Linked DNA regions of Drosophila melanogaster. The protein of the gene in region 2 interacts with the protein of the main gene of each other region in a pairwise test. Each region holds a gene or a part of one and is shown on either strand. Other genes may lie near its edges.

Evidence for each region.
Region 1: the proteins of l(2)05714 (region 2) and mtgo interact in a two-hybrid assay, tested with the Drosophila melanogaster proteins (one large-scale study listed by BioGRID).
Region 3: the proteins of l(2)05714 (region 2) and CG31244 interact in a two-hybrid assay, tested with the Drosophila melanogaster proteins (one large-scale study listed by BioGRID).

The regions. Positions count from the first base shown.
Region 1 is NT_033779.5:16,543,082-16,548,015, reverse strand, and holds the start of mtgo (miles to go), read right to left. Parts: upstream 3,001-4,934; 5' UTR 2,578-3,000; intron 1-2,577. Other genes in the region: CG31816 (uncharacterized protein), read right to left, coding at 4,841-4,934.
Region 2 is NT_033779.5:4,967,370-4,975,687, reverse strand, and holds l(2)05714 (lethal (2) 05714), read left to right. Parts: upstream 1-4,202; 5' UTR 4,203-4,391; coding exon 4,392-4,634; intron 4,635-4,903; coding exon 4,904-5,476; 3' UTR 5,477-5,541; downstream 5,542-8,318. Other genes in the region: Gmd (GDP-mannose 4,6-dehydratase), read left to right, coding at 1-109; mRpL28 (mitochondrial ribosomal protein L28), read right to left, coding at 472-535, 588-1,411, 1,531-1,551; CG14043 (uncharacterized protein), read right to left, coding at 2,074-3,876; Polr1C (RNA polymerase I and III subunit C), read right to left, coding at 5,542-6,403, 6,464-6,603; Scox (synthesis of cytochrome c oxidase), read left to right, coding at 6,863-7,256, 7,320-7,681; eIF3i (eukaryotic translation initiation factor 3 subunit i), read left to right, coding at 7,995-7,997, 8,175-8,318.
Region 3 is NT_033777.3:19,396,930-19,400,231, forward strand, and holds CG31244 (uncharacterized protein), read right to left. Parts: upstream 1,639-3,302; 5' UTR 1,554-1,638; coding exon 588-1,553; 3' UTR 501-587; downstream 1-500. Other genes in the region: INO80 complex subunit, read right to left, coding at 1,810-1,977, 2,038-2,299, 2,364-2,704, 2,768-2,945, 3,076-3,216, 3,283-3,302.

The DNA.
Region 1 (4,934 bases), about 12 Mb from region 2:
GCCGATGTGCGGATATACAAATGTGTGCCTTTATAAGTGTGCTTTTATCAGGGTGCGTCAATCTAAGCCAAGTTCTGAATTTACGAAAGTCTTGAAATGCCAAGTATATTCTTATAAAGGTTTAAGCGCTAAAAGGAAATCAACAGTCCGCAAAAATAGCTGATCTTAATATTTCTTCTATTAAAAAAAAAGCACTTAATTTTAGTTCAGATCTTTACTTAGTTTAAGTCCTATATGCATGAACAAGTTTAATCAATATTGAAGTTTTTTATATTTAGCTTCGAACAAATTGCTCCACCCTAATGCTCCTGTATCCTTGTTCGCGATGAGCGTATACCCAGACAACGAAATGTCACAGCAGCCTACTTATGCTTTTTTCGCATCGCGTTTTATCCCCAAATGTGTGTGCGATTTTTGGTTCAGCTTTTTGGCATATGGTCGCCGTGCCGGAAAAGTGGGAAACCGGTAAGGGGGCTGCTTTCCCATTTGCAGTTTGGCTGAAAAGCTGTTTCGCTTATTTCCCTCTTTTTTAGTCAACCGTTTCTAGATAAATATTTTGCAACACCGCATCGCATTTCCATGATTAGCAGATAAACATATGCCAAGTTGCAAACTTGGCGTGTGTGTTCGGAGTGTAGAAGTTTAGAGAATCCCTGGGTAGTGGGCGGTTATACACGCGACTTTAATTGAGCTTTCAAGAGGACTAAGTTAAACATACAAATGTTTGCTTAGGATGCAACAGCTGTTGGCTGTGAGTTAAAAATTGTTCGAAAAAAACCTCTTTGGAGAAGTGGAATATCTTAAAATATTTAAATTTAAAATTTGATTTAAAACAATAAATGACGTAAGGTTTTTAAATTATAGTATAAAAATACTAGATTAATCGAAAATTAATGAAGTTTTGTATACCGCATTGAAACTGTGTATCTAAAGCTTTTAACTATTTAATGCCCAAAATTGCCTAATAGCGGTTCAGTTTAAAATAAAAAAAAATTTAATTACCCGTTATTATCACAAAATATATTCCTCACTAACTAAAATCCTTTTATCTTTAACCCCACACCCATTGTCATTCCATTTGGTTGGAATGTAACGCCTGCCCTTAATTCAATTAACTTTAATGAACCAAATTATAATTGCAAATAAATTATCTTATTAAAGACGCAGAAAGTTCGCACTCTTGCCTTTTAGTAGCACTAAAACTCTGAAAACGGCGTCAAGGCCAATTAGAAAACTTTGTCCAAACATCTCACTACCAAGAAGGACGAAACTGAAACTTATCTTTTGGATCAGCAAGAGCCCATTTTCACCCAAAAAAACCCCGTGTGTCTGGGCGACAATCTAGCATATGCCAAAGTAAAAAGCTCACCAAAGTCAAACTCGATTAAAAATGCATAAATGCAATTAAACGCAAATGGAAATCGAACCAAACTCGCAAAAGCTTCAAGCGAAAACGCCTCGAGGTGGAAAAGCCAAAGAGATACACTTTCCAAGAATTCCACTTTTTTCACAGACATTTGTTTTTAAGCCTAGAAGTTTAAAAGTATTAATGGATTTGCAACACATACAACATTAAATACAAGTGATTATATAATAATTTTATAATTATATAATTAAATTTTTTATTTAAATTAATTTTTACTCAGAAACATTTGATAGTACGGTATATACCCATAATTTTATTCAGTGTATGAAAGCAAAAAATGTAAAAGATATATGTAAAGAGGCAGTGGGCGGTGGGAGGAGGCCAGATATCCAAAAGACGCGACAAGTGTCGGCCGAGCTTTGTTTGGCGCAAAGAGAGCAGCGCACTTCGAAGAGCAAAAAGCGCGAAGCCAAAAATCCAAAGACGACCATAGATAGTAAATTGCAAAGTTTATGCCGCCAAGTTCATGAAATTGTAATAGCTTCATACCACGGTTATGCTTCACCAAAGTGGTCATACAATTAAAAAAATTACGTACACCTAACTTTAATCCATTAAACTCGTACATTTATAATTATAATTTCTGATTTGGCGGAATTAATGAACTAAGTACATCGTGCATTCATTTTGCTATTGGGTCCACGCATGAGCTTTGTAACAGTAAAAGAAGCCCTGACCATGCAGTTGCGTCAATGGGTGCGAGGGAGAAGGGTGAGTGTGGGAGCAGGAGGTGGGCTTGGGTATTAGAGAGAGAGAGAGTGGGAGAGCGCGAGAGGCACTGGTTGAGTTGGTTTTGCTGACTGCACTTGTTTTGCCATCGTAGTTATTGTTTTTGTTGCTTGCAACGTTTTGCTGCCACTTGGCCGCAAAGGCAACAAAAACAAACACACACTAATACACGTGCGCGTTATTGCCAATTCACCCACATACACACAAACAACAGTTAGCCGCCGCTTGTGTGTGTGTGTACGCTAACATATTGAACGCATTTTTTCATATTTCTCAATGGAAAAGCCAACTCTAAACACCGTTAATATCATCCATATTAGTTAGTTGTCATTTGTGAGAGAAGAAAATGTGAAAAACATGTAAATTGCTGGGCAAAATAATGCAACATATGCTAGCACCACACTCTGATATTATCAACTTACTTTGCAAGTATTTGCCTTTGAATTTGGATTTGATTTTGCTTTTGTTTTCTATTTATTTATTTGTTGCTTTTTGGTTTTATTTCTTGCTGCACTCACTAACACAGAAACACACACGTACGCGCTAAACACGAAAAGCAGCCAATATATTTTATTCGTTTTGATTTTCACTGCTTGGAAATTTTCGCATTTCCATTTTCGAAATGCGTAACAACAAGTATTCTGTGGTTGAACAAACAACGATTTACGCGAATATAATAAAATAACGATAAACGGTTATTACGATGGTTTCCGCTGGCCAAAAACCTGCGACGAAATAGTCAACTGAGGGGAAAACAAGTAACAATTGTACCTGCCGAATTTGTTTTTAAACGCTTGCCAGCTTTTCTGATTTTCCGATGCGAACGCGCGCGCTGCGAAAAACATATTCGAAGCGAGTCGGAGAAGCCCCTCTATATAGATTCTCTCCGGCGCTTGAAAACAATTCGCATTGAGTGAGTTACGAAAAGCGGCTGATTCGGGCGCCAATTTGCTCCCACGAATTCTGCACGCTCTTACTCCAACGCATTGGAATGCTCCGCGCTCTTGAGCGCTTTCTGCACTGTTCGCTCGCTAACGGTAGTTCATGTGACGTTAACGTAAAGCTTGTTTCATTGCTTCATTATTGCAATGCAAAAATTTACATTATTTCTTCTAACTTACCCATTAACCGAATTAAATCTAATATCTAACATCAAATAAGTCGTTATCTAAATTATTGTTTTAATTTTTTATTTGACCTGGGCTTTTCTATCGAATTCTATGTAATTCAATGCAAAAATTGAAGTTGTTAGTATTTTTTCTTTGTGCATAAGAGTAAGCAATTGTTGCTTTCGTGCGCTCTCTCTTTTTCACTATCTTTTAACCCGTTCGTTTGCGTGGGTGCCAGGGAAATTTCCACCCACTGAAAGTCCTAAAATTGAGTTATTAAGTGAATCAAGGGCCAGCAAGGTTTTTGAGCATAGTTATTTGAATGTCCAGAAGATCAGCTTATTACCAAATGCATTTATTTGATTACTCTATCATGTGACACTACGTGTACAAAAATTATATGAATAAGATATTTACGTAATGAAGCCGAGTACGACTTAACAATATTTTAAACTTAAAGCTAAATATACATTTTATAATTTGAATAAGAATAGGATTGGGAAATTCATATTTAAGGACGGGCTTAATATATAATATAAAATATCCCTTTTGGCGTCGACTGCGCTGCATTTCCTCTGCCGTCGTTTTTGTTCCAAAAATCGCGTGGGAGAGTGAGTGAATAAAGGAAAGGTTGGAAGAGGGAGAGGGAGAGAGTGAGAGTGAGTAGGTGAGTCCAGATTGAGTTATTTTTCCAAGCCTGCAACCTGTATGAAATTATGGCTCAAGAGGCCAAAAGCTTTACGCGGTTGAAAATTGTTGCTTTTGCGACGCCGGCCGAAATGCAAACAGCTGTTTGCAGAATACAACAAATAATAAATAACTTGAACTTCAAAGCAAAACGGAAGGAAGATTTCAATATTTCATGGAAAAAAAAAGAAAGAAACTGGCTAACAACTTCATACATATATAAATTTTAGTATACGTAATATTATTTGAAATCTAGGCAATTTTGTATTATCAAAGGTCAATTGAACAATATACATAAGTGGGAGAATCGAAAAATGACTCGTAATATAAGTCTAGTCCTGCTAATCCGTTTTGCAATGGACACCACATTATTCAAGTCAATTTCTATAAAATATATAATAAAATGATAATTGAAATTCATTTTCTAAGCTACGTTATAGATTGTAAATCTTTTTGTATAATTTATTTTTCAAAATACCGTTAATCCTTTTAAATGAACCCGACTGGGAGGATACATTTCTGTTGAAATTCTTACGTATGTAAATACTTCAATGAAATTGTTAACAAAATCTCCGTATAACACTAGTACTTACAAAACTTTTACAAGAGCTTAAGGAAAGCGTTAGCATATAACCAAACCATTGCGGTAGGTGTCCACGCTAAAATGTAAATTAAATGTGAAAGCCGGAAATACAGTTTCAAGTCATTTCCGGAACTATTCTGGAATCCATTCTATCCAAGTTACAACATAATAAACTCCTTAAAGGGCTATACAAATATTTGGACTAACCAAGTAAAGTTGGGTATGAAAATATTTTATTTTAATAACTGTATATTCCCTTAAAAATGGAATAGGAATAATTTCGCTGTCCTCATTATTTTGTCGCTTCTATGCCCCAACTTTGCAGAACTTTTTCGATGTTTTTCGCAGCCTTAACCACCACTCGAAGTCATTCTTGATGTATTTAGCTTTGACAGCACGT
Region 2 (8,318 bases):
CAAAGCCAATCGAGAGCTAAACTGGACGCCTAAAGTTACCTTCGTGGAATTGGTTAGCGACATGATGAAGGCTGACATCGAATTAATGAGGAAAAATCCAATCGCTTAAGGCCTACCTGGCTTCCAGCTCGGACTGGGATCATTTACGGCACAAAGCTCTCTGCCCGCTTGCGGAGCTATACACTAACCATAGTCTAAGCGTAAAGTGATCAGCGTAGTTGATTTGTCAATGTATTTCTGTATTCTCGTGGGGATTTGCAATCATTCCTTTTTCTACTTTGCCGCGTACGTTCATGTTCAGTGTGTGATTCTACTTGTTTTTATACAGTACCAGATGTAACGAATATTTGAAATAAAGACGTTCGAGTAACAACGTTTTAATACCTTCAAATTGTAACGAAATGTTTCCGAAGTTATGTTTATTCGTTCGAGGCTAAACACATAAATCAAAAACAAACGCGGACAGCTTTTCTAGGTTTCTTTCTTGCCGAAAGGATTGATTTTAGACAGCCAACTGGAAGAGGGGGAGGATTCCCTGGAATAAATCATTGGTTAGGAAATTCATTACAGAAGTATTTGTGACTTACAGCTTTGTAAGCGCTTCGATATCCGAATCCTTGTGTTCGACCGACGATTCTGCTGCTAATGCATCCGGCTTCTCCAGCTTTCCCGCTTCGCTGATCCCCGCCTGGCGCAGCTGCTCGATAAGCTTTCCGCGGAACTCCAACTTATGCGGCACCACCTTTTCCGCTTCGCGCAGCTGCTTTTGCAGCTTGCGTATGGCCTCCAAATAGGTATGGCCGTACCAATCGATTTCCTCGGGCGTATATGGTTCCAGATAGCGGCGGTATTCCTTAAGCACTTCCTGTTGGCGTTCGGGCTCGTCGGCGAGGGCTGGAACACCGTTCTGCAGGGCCTGAAGCACCTCTCGCTTGAGTTTCAGAGCCAAAGCGGAGCGAAGATCGCAGGCACGATTCTTGAGGAGGTAGTGATCAAAGCCATGACATTCATGGATCTGCTCCAGCGTGCGTTCCGTCACCACCACGGACATGTAGCAGTCCAGCACATGACTATGGACCACCGAACGCCTAAGATTTGGTACCCAAAAGTGCGGCACGCGACGCTTTGTTTGCTCGCGTTTCTGAAAGCCCTTGATCACGGCCTCGCCACCCCAGATGCCACGGTGCGATTCCGGCGTATCGATCAATGGCAGCGGGATGTTCTGCACCGGCTTGATGGCGTGCGTCACCTCATCTCGTTCCCACTGCTGCTCCTTGGGGATATAATGGACCGCAGCCGGGGTCGTCAGCTTCCACTCGCGCCAGAACTTCCTGTACGCCTCGGGCAGCTGGGCTCCCAGACCCTTGTCAAAGCGACCCGGACGCTTCCATCCGTTTAATAGCTTTACGCCCTGCAGAAGGTTTAAACGCTTTGTTATTCCATGGGGTTTACGAAAGTTAACGCAGCTATTGCGTCACAGAAACGCGGCGCACTACCAGTTTCCTCTTTATTTTTGAGGCAATCACATACCTGTGGCGTGGCGTGTGCCATTTTTTAAGGAACGAACTAGCAGTTTACTGTTATTATTCACTATTAAAACTATAGTGGCAGTTTAAACTTGGCTATTAAACTATATTTTCCCTGATTTTGGCTAGGCCAACGGCGCTCTTCCTCTTCCTGTTTGGAAAAAACAGCTGTTCGTATGTGAATGGCTGGCAGCCAGGGTTGCCAGGTTTGAAAAGTATTTCGGAGACAGAGCTTCGTTCAATTTAGTTTTGTGAAATTTAGAAATGCTCGGCAAAAAATTGAGTTTCGAAGTAGTTCAACTTATTTATTATAATCAATATATGAAACAGTGCGCCAAGCCATACTCCGGCATAAGTACCATTCACGAGTAGCAAGAAATAAATTTATGCTGTCGGCAATTAAAATCGAAAAGCGGCTTACTTTCGCTATCAGAATGTAACATGTAAGTTACTAATGTATTAACAATTAAATATCCTTGAAAGAAACGCGATTTATTTTGACTACGTATAAAGCTTTTAGCAAATGCAATTAATTTTTTGGAAATTCTCACGCGGTTAGCCCAGCCTTGTTCAACCTGGCCTTAATCGTGTTTATCTTGAGCGGCAACAGCTGGAGCATTTCACGCACAACACCAATCTCGCCCTGCAGCGTCTCGGCCGCCTCCTTGTGCAGCTGGCAACCAGCATCGAATCTCTGGTAGTAGGTGTGGCAACTAGTTAGGTGCTCCAGCTGCTGGAGCGGATGGCCACTGATCAGCTTGTAGTAGATGCGACCGATGTGGAAGTGGGCGTAGAGCATGTGGCGTTGCTCCTCCACGTCCATGTTGGGTCGCCATTCCTCGCTGGGCGGTTTGACCAGATAGGATTTGACATAGCTCTCAAAGTGCTTGATGGCCTTCATACAGCTCTGATTGACCTTCTTGATGTCCTCCGGCGCTGGCGTGCTAGTGGCCCGAATGATGTCGAGACGGACATCCATCACGGCAGCATGAGCTGTGCCGGCTCCATACCAGCATTCTCGGCATATCTTCATGTAAAAGATGGGGTCAAGCAGATCCAAAAGATCTTCCAGATACTTGGCGCGACGCTTTTGCATCTTGGCCTGGTTTTCTGGATTCTCCTCGAAGAAGGCAATGTGCTCATACGCTTCGGCGTAATCCTGCATTATCTTTGAATACTCAGTAGCTTCGTTCTCGGCCTTGTAATAGTCCTTGGCTATGTCGAGCCACTCGTTCACAAAATGAAACACCAACTTGGCATCGTCGAAGGTCAGGCAGTATTCACAACTAATACGATTTTCACACGCGGTGAGGTCAAGTCCAGGAAACCGGGACTGTTCCGCCTCGACCAGCCGCATATTGCGCAGAACGATCTCCAGGTTCTTGGCATCCTCGTCATCTTCGTCCCGCATCAGCCGAAGCTTGGATGTGTTCATTAAATACAATCCATATTTGGCCCAACAGCGTGCCACATCGGCGTAGCGATGTTTAAAGGTCTCCGACACGTCCTGGCGCTGCTTCTCGCTCATCTCCGGCTCCAGCATGTGCACCTCATATTCGGCCATGATGAGCGTAGCAGCGGCCAGGTGATGACGGGCCTCCTCGAAGCGCTTCTCTCCAATATAGAACTGTGACAAGGTGGCGGTGTTCAGTGCGAAATCAATGGGATCGTATGTTTTTGACTCAAGCTGTCGATGGAGGGTGCGATGGCAGCACTTGGCCGACTTTTCCGGCTCACCCAAATGCCCGTACATTTGCGCCATGTAAAATGAGACTAGCGTGTACAGGGATTCCAGTTCCTTGGGACCAGCTTCGTGAGATTGTTGTCCCTCCTCCGGAGGATTGAACACATCTTGAATGGCCAGGGGCTTCAGACCACTGGCTTTGAAGTCCTCGTAGATTTTTTCTGCCTCCAGGAGAATTTCCAGTCCCTTATTGTACTCTTCCTTGGAGGCCAGCACAATGCTAAGCTCGTTGATTGCCCCAATGAATGGAATGATGCCCTCAGGGCACTCCTTAAACGGCGTGACTAGTTCCAGACAACGATTGAGCATCTTTTCGCCCTCTGCCTGCTCCTCTGTGTAGATGTAGATCCTGCCTAGATCCCGGCAAACGAAGGCCAACAGAGAGTGATAGCAGCGATCGTCCTGACCACCGTCCTCCTCGCTGGCCTGCACAGATACCAGTTGGTCGTCCAGCTGCTTCTTCAAGACAATTAGCACATCGCGCGCTTTATAATGGGAGCGGAATGGATCCGTGGGCGGATCATTGCGGCTCTCCTCCTCCACCAGACGGTTGGCCTTCTCGTATAGCTCCTTGAAGTCGCTTAGGATCTCCTTTGGAATGACCATGTTGGCTGAGCACCCACGGTGCAGGCAAAAGCTATCCTGAATTCGGCAAAGCCTTTTTATTTACTATATTTTTTCTCTATGAGTGTGTAGTGTGGCCGTATTGTGACTGCTTAAACTTTACCTGAGACCCAAACCATGAAAGAATATTTTATTTAAAATCTCAAACTAAATTAATTTGAACTATGTACAAGTAAGGTATTTTCAAAAAGTACATAACACAACCATAAACGCCTCTAATATAAACTTGAAGGCATAAAATGTTTATATAAACAAAACAGCTTAGTGTGACCGTTGCGCAGCAACCTCTATGTCGCAACCCTGGAATTAATTGCTGGTATTATAACGTATTCGATTACAGTCACACCGCATCGACTTTCAGATTTTTTTCGCGTCGCAAATTTTTGGAATATACCAAAATATTTACCACCATCAGCTATTAAAGACTGCTTTTGGCGCTCATCTTTCAAAGAATACTTTTCCACAAATCAGACAAGCTTCATCCGAAAGCGGGCACAATGCTGAAGGGTTACAAGACGGATGAGGACAAGAAGGTGAAGCGACTGTACCACCAACGCTATCGCACAGAGTGGGAGAAATATCCGGAGCTCTCCAGCTGGCTGGCGTCTAGTAATGACGGTTACTCGGCGCACTGCAAGATCTGCGACATCAATGTCCTCGCCAGACTAGCGTCCATCAAGCAGCACCTCGCAACGCGGAAACACCAGGAAAGTTTCAAGTACCACAACATTCTTGCCAAGGTGGGATTGGGTTTGTGCATAAGCAATAGGAATGACCCGTGTCCATTATTGATTCAAATATTTTGCGATCCAAACTAAATTTCAAACACGATTTTTGTGTGAGTTTTCGCCATACTTTTCGTTAACTATTCCATTGACTACTTCTTGTGCAATGGTTAACCAAACCAGTAGCTCCCTCTATGCGATGCACAACTTATCGCTCCAAAAAAAAAATTCTCATCTCATTACTAATTTACATAAAATTAACAACTCCGTATTTATACCTACAGAATATGATTAAGGGTGAACTTGTCAAAGATGAGCATGACCCAGACTTGGAGGCCTCCATAATTTCACCCAAAGCAAAGCCCAAAGCCAAATCAAAGACCTATCCAAGGCAAAAGCCAAGGAGCAAAATGCAGCCAAAGATCAAGAACGACACGAAGGTGGAGAGCATGGAGGAGGAGACGGAGGAGGACGAAATCGCCTCGAACGACTCAATCCTGGATGATTTACTCAGAACAGATCAGCCCTATCAAGAGCAAGAATTTGAGGTTGAGAACGAGTTCCTCGAAGTACAACAGAATGAAACAGATCTCCAGGACCAAGAGGTGGTCTACGAGGAAGAGATGATACAGCTCAAGCCGGAAGATACGGAGATTAATAACGAATACCAAGTCGACGCGATGACGGAAGACACCATTATTAGTGAATTTGACTTGTTTGGCAAGAGTTTGGCTCTGCAGCTGAACAACATGGACCTGGAGGACGCACTAATGTGCCAGGAGCGTCTGCAGGTGGTCCTAACGGAATTTCGCCTGAAGGTGCTCAAGCGCAAGAGAGAGCAAGCACGATCTTCGTAGGCTTACAATTTATATCAAGCTGTCTTATGTACATAATATAATTTCTTTAACAACTAAATAAATAACTATTCTGCCTCAATTTCGTCAATTAGCGCCCGGCACTTTCTCTTCAATACCTTGACCGCCTCCAGGAAGATGACATCGGGCTTCAGTGCGCCGACTGATTCCACGGAGAAAATGTAGTGATCTCGGATACGGGCCAAAGTCACAGCGTCGTTTAGCTGGGGATAGCGATACACATTTCGGCTGCACGTGTCGTAGCGTGCATCCTTTACATAGGCAGTTTCATTCTCGTCAATGCCAATTACTCCTGGTGAGAAACAGTTCTGTAATAGGTACGCATCCTTACCGGTCACCTCGCGGTTCAGCTTAATCATGGGCAGCAGTCGGTAGGTGGCCGTGGCCACCGGCGAGAATTTCGCGTGATCCCGTCCAAGTCCCTTAACCGCCACCAGGCGCAGATCCAACTCGTGACCCGGACGCAATTGGGCAATCAGTATGTCATCGTGAATGCAGTTCACAGCACTCTCGCTGTATATCTGCGCCTGCTTTCCTTTGGGCAGCCACTTCAGATGACCCGAGTACACTTTGTGGTTTTTGTAAATGTCATCGAAGTTGGACTGATCTTTTCCAGCATCCCGTCGCCGCGAGCACTTCACCTTCAGCTCAAATTCAAGCGTATCCTGCTCGGTCCCCGCCTCAGTGCTTTCCTCGGTGCGGTATGCGAATAGACGGGGATCAGCCCGCAACGGAAGTAGACCCATTCGATGGGCAAGTACCTCGTCCTGGATGATCGAGGTGTTGTTGTATATGTACACCTTTTCGATGGCCATGCTGGGCACATCGCTGAGCATCAGGCGACGGAAGGCATTTGCAATGGCGGGATACACGCCAATCAGATCGAACTCCAGGCCGTCTTCGTCGTTTCTAGAAGTGAACACCAATTGTTAATCGACTCGTAAGATTCTAATTTCTATTGAGATTTACCTGACGATTTTGATGTGCAGCTTTTCCTTGAAAGCCTGAACGGAAAATACATCGTCCGCCAGTCCATAGTCCTGCGGATCCTGCTTCACCCGATACTCCTCCATGTACAGAAGCGGCTCCTTGCGATTTTTGCTTGCCATTTGCCCCGGTGTTTTTATTAAATAATTTAACAAAATTGAACCGCACGTGTTGGAATCAATAAGACCGCCTTCTAATACCAAAATATACCAAACTAACTAACAAACTAACTAATATACTAAATAAATATACTTTATGTACTAAATAAATGCTGTTTCGCCGTGACTGGCTGAATAGGAAGAAGCAGCAGGACACCGGCGATATTTTTATTTCTCCAGAAGATTTACGTAAAGCCTTCAAATTTCTGAAACCGGGCGTAAGATGTCCCGCTCCCTGCAACGCTTAGTGGGCAGCTGTCGTCGCTGGGCACAACAGCCCGCAATTCGTCATTATGCCGCTCCCGCAGATTCCACTAAAGGCAAGGGTCCGATCTCTTGGAGAAGTCTGGCCGTCATTGGAGCCCTTGGAGCCGGAGGAGTGGGCTTCATGCTGTACGTGAAGAGCGAGAAGGATGAGGCGAGAATGAAGGAGCGTCAGCGGCAATTGGGAAAAGCAGCCATCGGCGGCAGTTGGGAATTAGTTGATTCGCAGGGAGCTGTTCGCAAATCGGAGGACTTCTTAGGCAAGTGGCTGCTCATCTATTTTGGCTTCACCCACTGCCCGGATATTTGTCCCGATGAGCTAGAGAAGATGGCCGCCGTCGTCGATGAAGTTGGTAAGTAGAGCCTGACTATTTCTTCCAAACCCAAAAAAAACCATGTTTCTCAAACCTTCACAGAAAAGTCCCCGCAAACGCCAGCAGTGCAGCCCATCTTTATCACCGTTGACCCAGAACGTGACTCCAAAGAGGTGGTGGCCAAATACGTAAAAGAGTTCTCCCCCAAACTGCTGGGACTCACGGGAACCGTCGAACAAATCCGCAAAGTGTGCAAGGCCTTCAGGGTTTATTTCAGCGCTGGACCGCGGGACGAGGACAACGATTATATTGTGGATCACACCATCATCATGTACCTGGTCAATCCCGATGGCGAGTTTGTCGATTACTACGGCCAAAATCGGGACAAGGACCAGTGTGTGGCATCCATTTTGGTGAACATAGCCAAGTGGAATTCAATGAACAAAAAGGGATGGTTCAGCTAGGCTGGCTAAGCTAGGCAAATGTTGTTTCGTTGTATTTACTTAATGTATGGCATAAAATATGGTTTTTACTTGATGTATATCAAGTTTTAAATCCAAATTTTCGTTTATATTGGCTATACCTTAAGTTCTAGATTGTAAAAATTTCTGGTTGTTCAAAATAAACTTGATTAACGGTATTTTTTAGATCCCCCTGGTATATCGAAGTGAGATTTTGACTAGGCCACGGTCACACTGCTCTTTTGGCGTGTAGTGCTGCGTGGATGTTGTTGCAAAAATATTCGTTTTCTCGCAACAAATAACAATATAATACAAAATGGTGCGTGCCTGGTCAATGACTACACAGTTTGCATTATTCCGGATGGGTTTCTTTAGAATTTACCCGAAATTACAACTATTTGCAAAGTGTGAAAGTCGTGTGAAATTCCGGACCAAACATAACCTTAAAAGCGGCCTAAATTGTTGCTAAAAATTCGTATTATTCTGTCTTTTATAGCGTCCGTTGATGCTTCAGGGCCACGAGCGTTCCATAACGCAAATCAAGTACAACCGCGAGGGCGACCTGCTCTTCTCCTGCTCCAAGGATCAGAAGCCCAATGTGTGGTACTCGCTGAACGGAGAACGTTTGGGCACCTACGAT
Region 3 (3,302 bases), on a different chromosome or scaffold from region 2:
ACCCGTCACCACCCCTTGCTCAAGATTCACCATCGATTGCCGCAGTGCATGAACAAGTAGTTTAGCAAATGAATACAAGAGCCACACAGGGTTTTTCCGCCACCGAGATCGGGACAATGGCAAAGGAATTTCTCTCTCTATACTGACGTGTAAAATATTGTCCCAAACCTGTCTATAAATCATCAAATGAATGGGGAACAATTACTATAATGTAGAGAACTAAGAGCTAAGCCTGCATATGAAAAAATATAAAACATTTTGGAAGAAGTCATAGTACTATATTTAAAATTTATTTGACTTTCCAAATTAGTCACCGCTTATATATTCGACGTTTGAGTACCTACTCAAAGCAGTCCCAATTATAATTACGCTCTCATATGTGAAAACATATGGCTATTTTTCGTACTTGAATAGAGTACTGATCAAAACACACTTTAAAAAAAAATAGAGAAAACATTCTTTACAATAAACTATACAAATAGTTTATACGATAAAGTTCTAGAGGGTCATTAAGAGTTTTGTATTACGGATAATTTAAACTTTTGATAATTTAAAATTACTTGTGATTTTTGCCGAACTGACTTGAACTACTGGACACGCACATTGTCATAGATCTTTACGACATCTATGTCTTGAAGAAGGTTTTTACGAAACTCCTGATAGCGGGCCATTTGACGATCATTTAACTCGACGAGCGGCTTGTTTGGACAGTGTCCAACCTCCTTATGTACAATCTTGTAGTTGCACTGCCTGAGTTTGTACGCGACCTCTTGCAGGTCCAGAGGCCGACATTTGAACAAAACAGATCCTTTGGCCAAATCGGTAATGGTACTATCGGTGGCTTTGCACCACAAAGCATCAATTCGCAACGTTTGATTGAATTCCTCAAAGCTTAATGGTGTTACGCTCGGCAATGTGGCCTCAATCAAGCCAGTTTCGTTGAATAAATGTCGATTGAAGAAGCGCGCTTTGTTTTGCCGCAGTAAGGAGGCCAAGCGAAGTTTCAGTTCGGGGAGATTATCCGTCCTGATCTTGCAAACCATGGCAACCAATTGCCGCCCATAGTCCATGGGTATACTATAGGTGTGATGATTCCTCTCGCTCAACTCGCACTCCTTCAGAATTCGCTGCACTCGACTGTACGGCAATTGCAAGGGCGACAGTCGAGCCCTCAGCTCGTAGTTCTTGTCGGGATCTATGGAACCTCCCCCACGATGCACCGCTAATCGAAGCTCGTTAGCCAGTATTAACTCATCTGTCGTATCATGATCAAACTGCGCCTTTTTGGAGCTTAGTGGAACGCTGGTAAAGCCGGTCTTACTCGGGCTCCTTTCCCCATACATCGGAGCCCATCGTACTCGCTTTACGCTCGGTATCTCTGGATTATCCAGAAGCTCCAAGTCCAGCCCATTACGCTTATCGTTCTCTAATTTCGGGGAATCACTACGGATTAGGTTCGGCTTTGGTCTGTAGGGAGTAACGCTGGACTTGAGCTGAGGAAGTTTCGTAGTCTTGGTCCTGTCCATGGGTTCTAAACAGCTGTTGTTATGCATTTGAAATGAACTTGAAATTTGGACTACTTAAAGTTATTGTTGAAAATGAATGGATTTGACTAATACAATAGAAATTTCGGAGAGCGTATGAGTGAAAAGTTTTTAAAAGGCACTAATATAAATTCACAATGTGATTTCAAGAAAAAATTAAACGAAATCGAAACAAGGGACAAACTTTTTTGAAAGGCACGGTAAAAAAAATTGATATTGTACATCAATATACATAAATGAAAAAGTAAGTATAATATGAACTCACCGTATCGGCGGCTGTTAAATTAATTCCCAGTCCTCCGGCTCTCGTAGACAGTAAGAACACGAAGATATCTGCTCTCGTTTGAAAATCGGCAACCATATCGCGACGAGCGGATATCTTGCTTGAGCCATCCAGGCGCATATAGCGATGCTTGCGGTGCCACATGTACTCCTAGACATTTTATCAAAAAATTAAACTGAACAGTGATCGTTTCAAGTTTAATAAACTTACCTCGAGCAGGTCTATCATCTTGGTCATCTGCGAGTATATGAGTACTCGATGTCCATTCGCCTTCAATCGAGTTAGCAAGTTGTCAAGAACAAAAAGCTTACCAGCATCGGTAATCAGGGTTTCCTTGTCGGGCACCACAATCGAGGACCATCCACCATGAGGCTTGCACAAGGCCAATCCACTGGAGACAAGCTCCCTGCCCTGGCTATTCTCACACTGATTGTGGCGAATCTGGGACCACGCTGCAGATCGACTATCGCAGCTAAAATTGATATAAAAAAAGTTAAAAACCTGGATCGGTTTCGATGAATCCATTTGAAACTTACTATAAATATCTATGCACAGCTTGAACTTTTTGTCCCAAATCGTAAAGTATTCGTGGCATGGAAAGCGGTTCGCATACGTATTTTCTTGGCTTTCGTGGGCGATGCGGAAACTCTGGTAGCAGCAGCAGCGTCGTCACCTTAACATCGCTTTTGGCATTCGACTTTGTTTGCACCTCCACAGACTCGATTTCCAGCTTTTGCTTGGACACATCCTCCATCTCCTCGATTAGCGACGTTTTCTTCTTCAGAATCTTTGACCGAATTACACGGTGTTCGATAGTTTCCTGCATATTGTACGTAAAGTAATCGCCAAATGCGTAAACGCTGCTTTCGTTGGCGGTCTTTAAGCATAAATCATTGTATAAATTGTTCGAATAAAAATTTATAAATATAAATAATTATACCATTGCTGTGAATATGAAGTTCTTAAGGACACTGTTTGGTGGCATATAGTCGAGAGCTAGTTTGTTTTCCAACATCGGCTCCAGCAGTTGATATCTACTGTCCGGCTGCTTTTTCCACCAAAAGCGACGGTAGGCCAGCAGTGGGTATTTCTCCAAAACTCTTCGATAATGCAAAAGACTGTAGAAAAACAAACGTAAGTATTGTAAGTATTTAACCATTTGTTATTATCAAACAAAGGAGCACGACATTTGCGAATTTTGCTATTATAAACATGTTACTTACAGGTAAAGGGTATAGGAATACTCACAAATCTATCAGTCCATTTAAAGTTACTTCTACCATATCTCCCACAGATAAATCGCAAAGCCGGGTAAATCCGAAGCAACTATTCACGTTCACATCCTCAAAGAGAGACCTCTGTATGTATTCCGATTTGAAGATATTGAACCTGCAAATGGGCAGTCAAGGATTAAAAATTCAAATATGATAAAATGTTCAAAACCTATCCACTTACCGGTTATAGAGCAAGTGCTT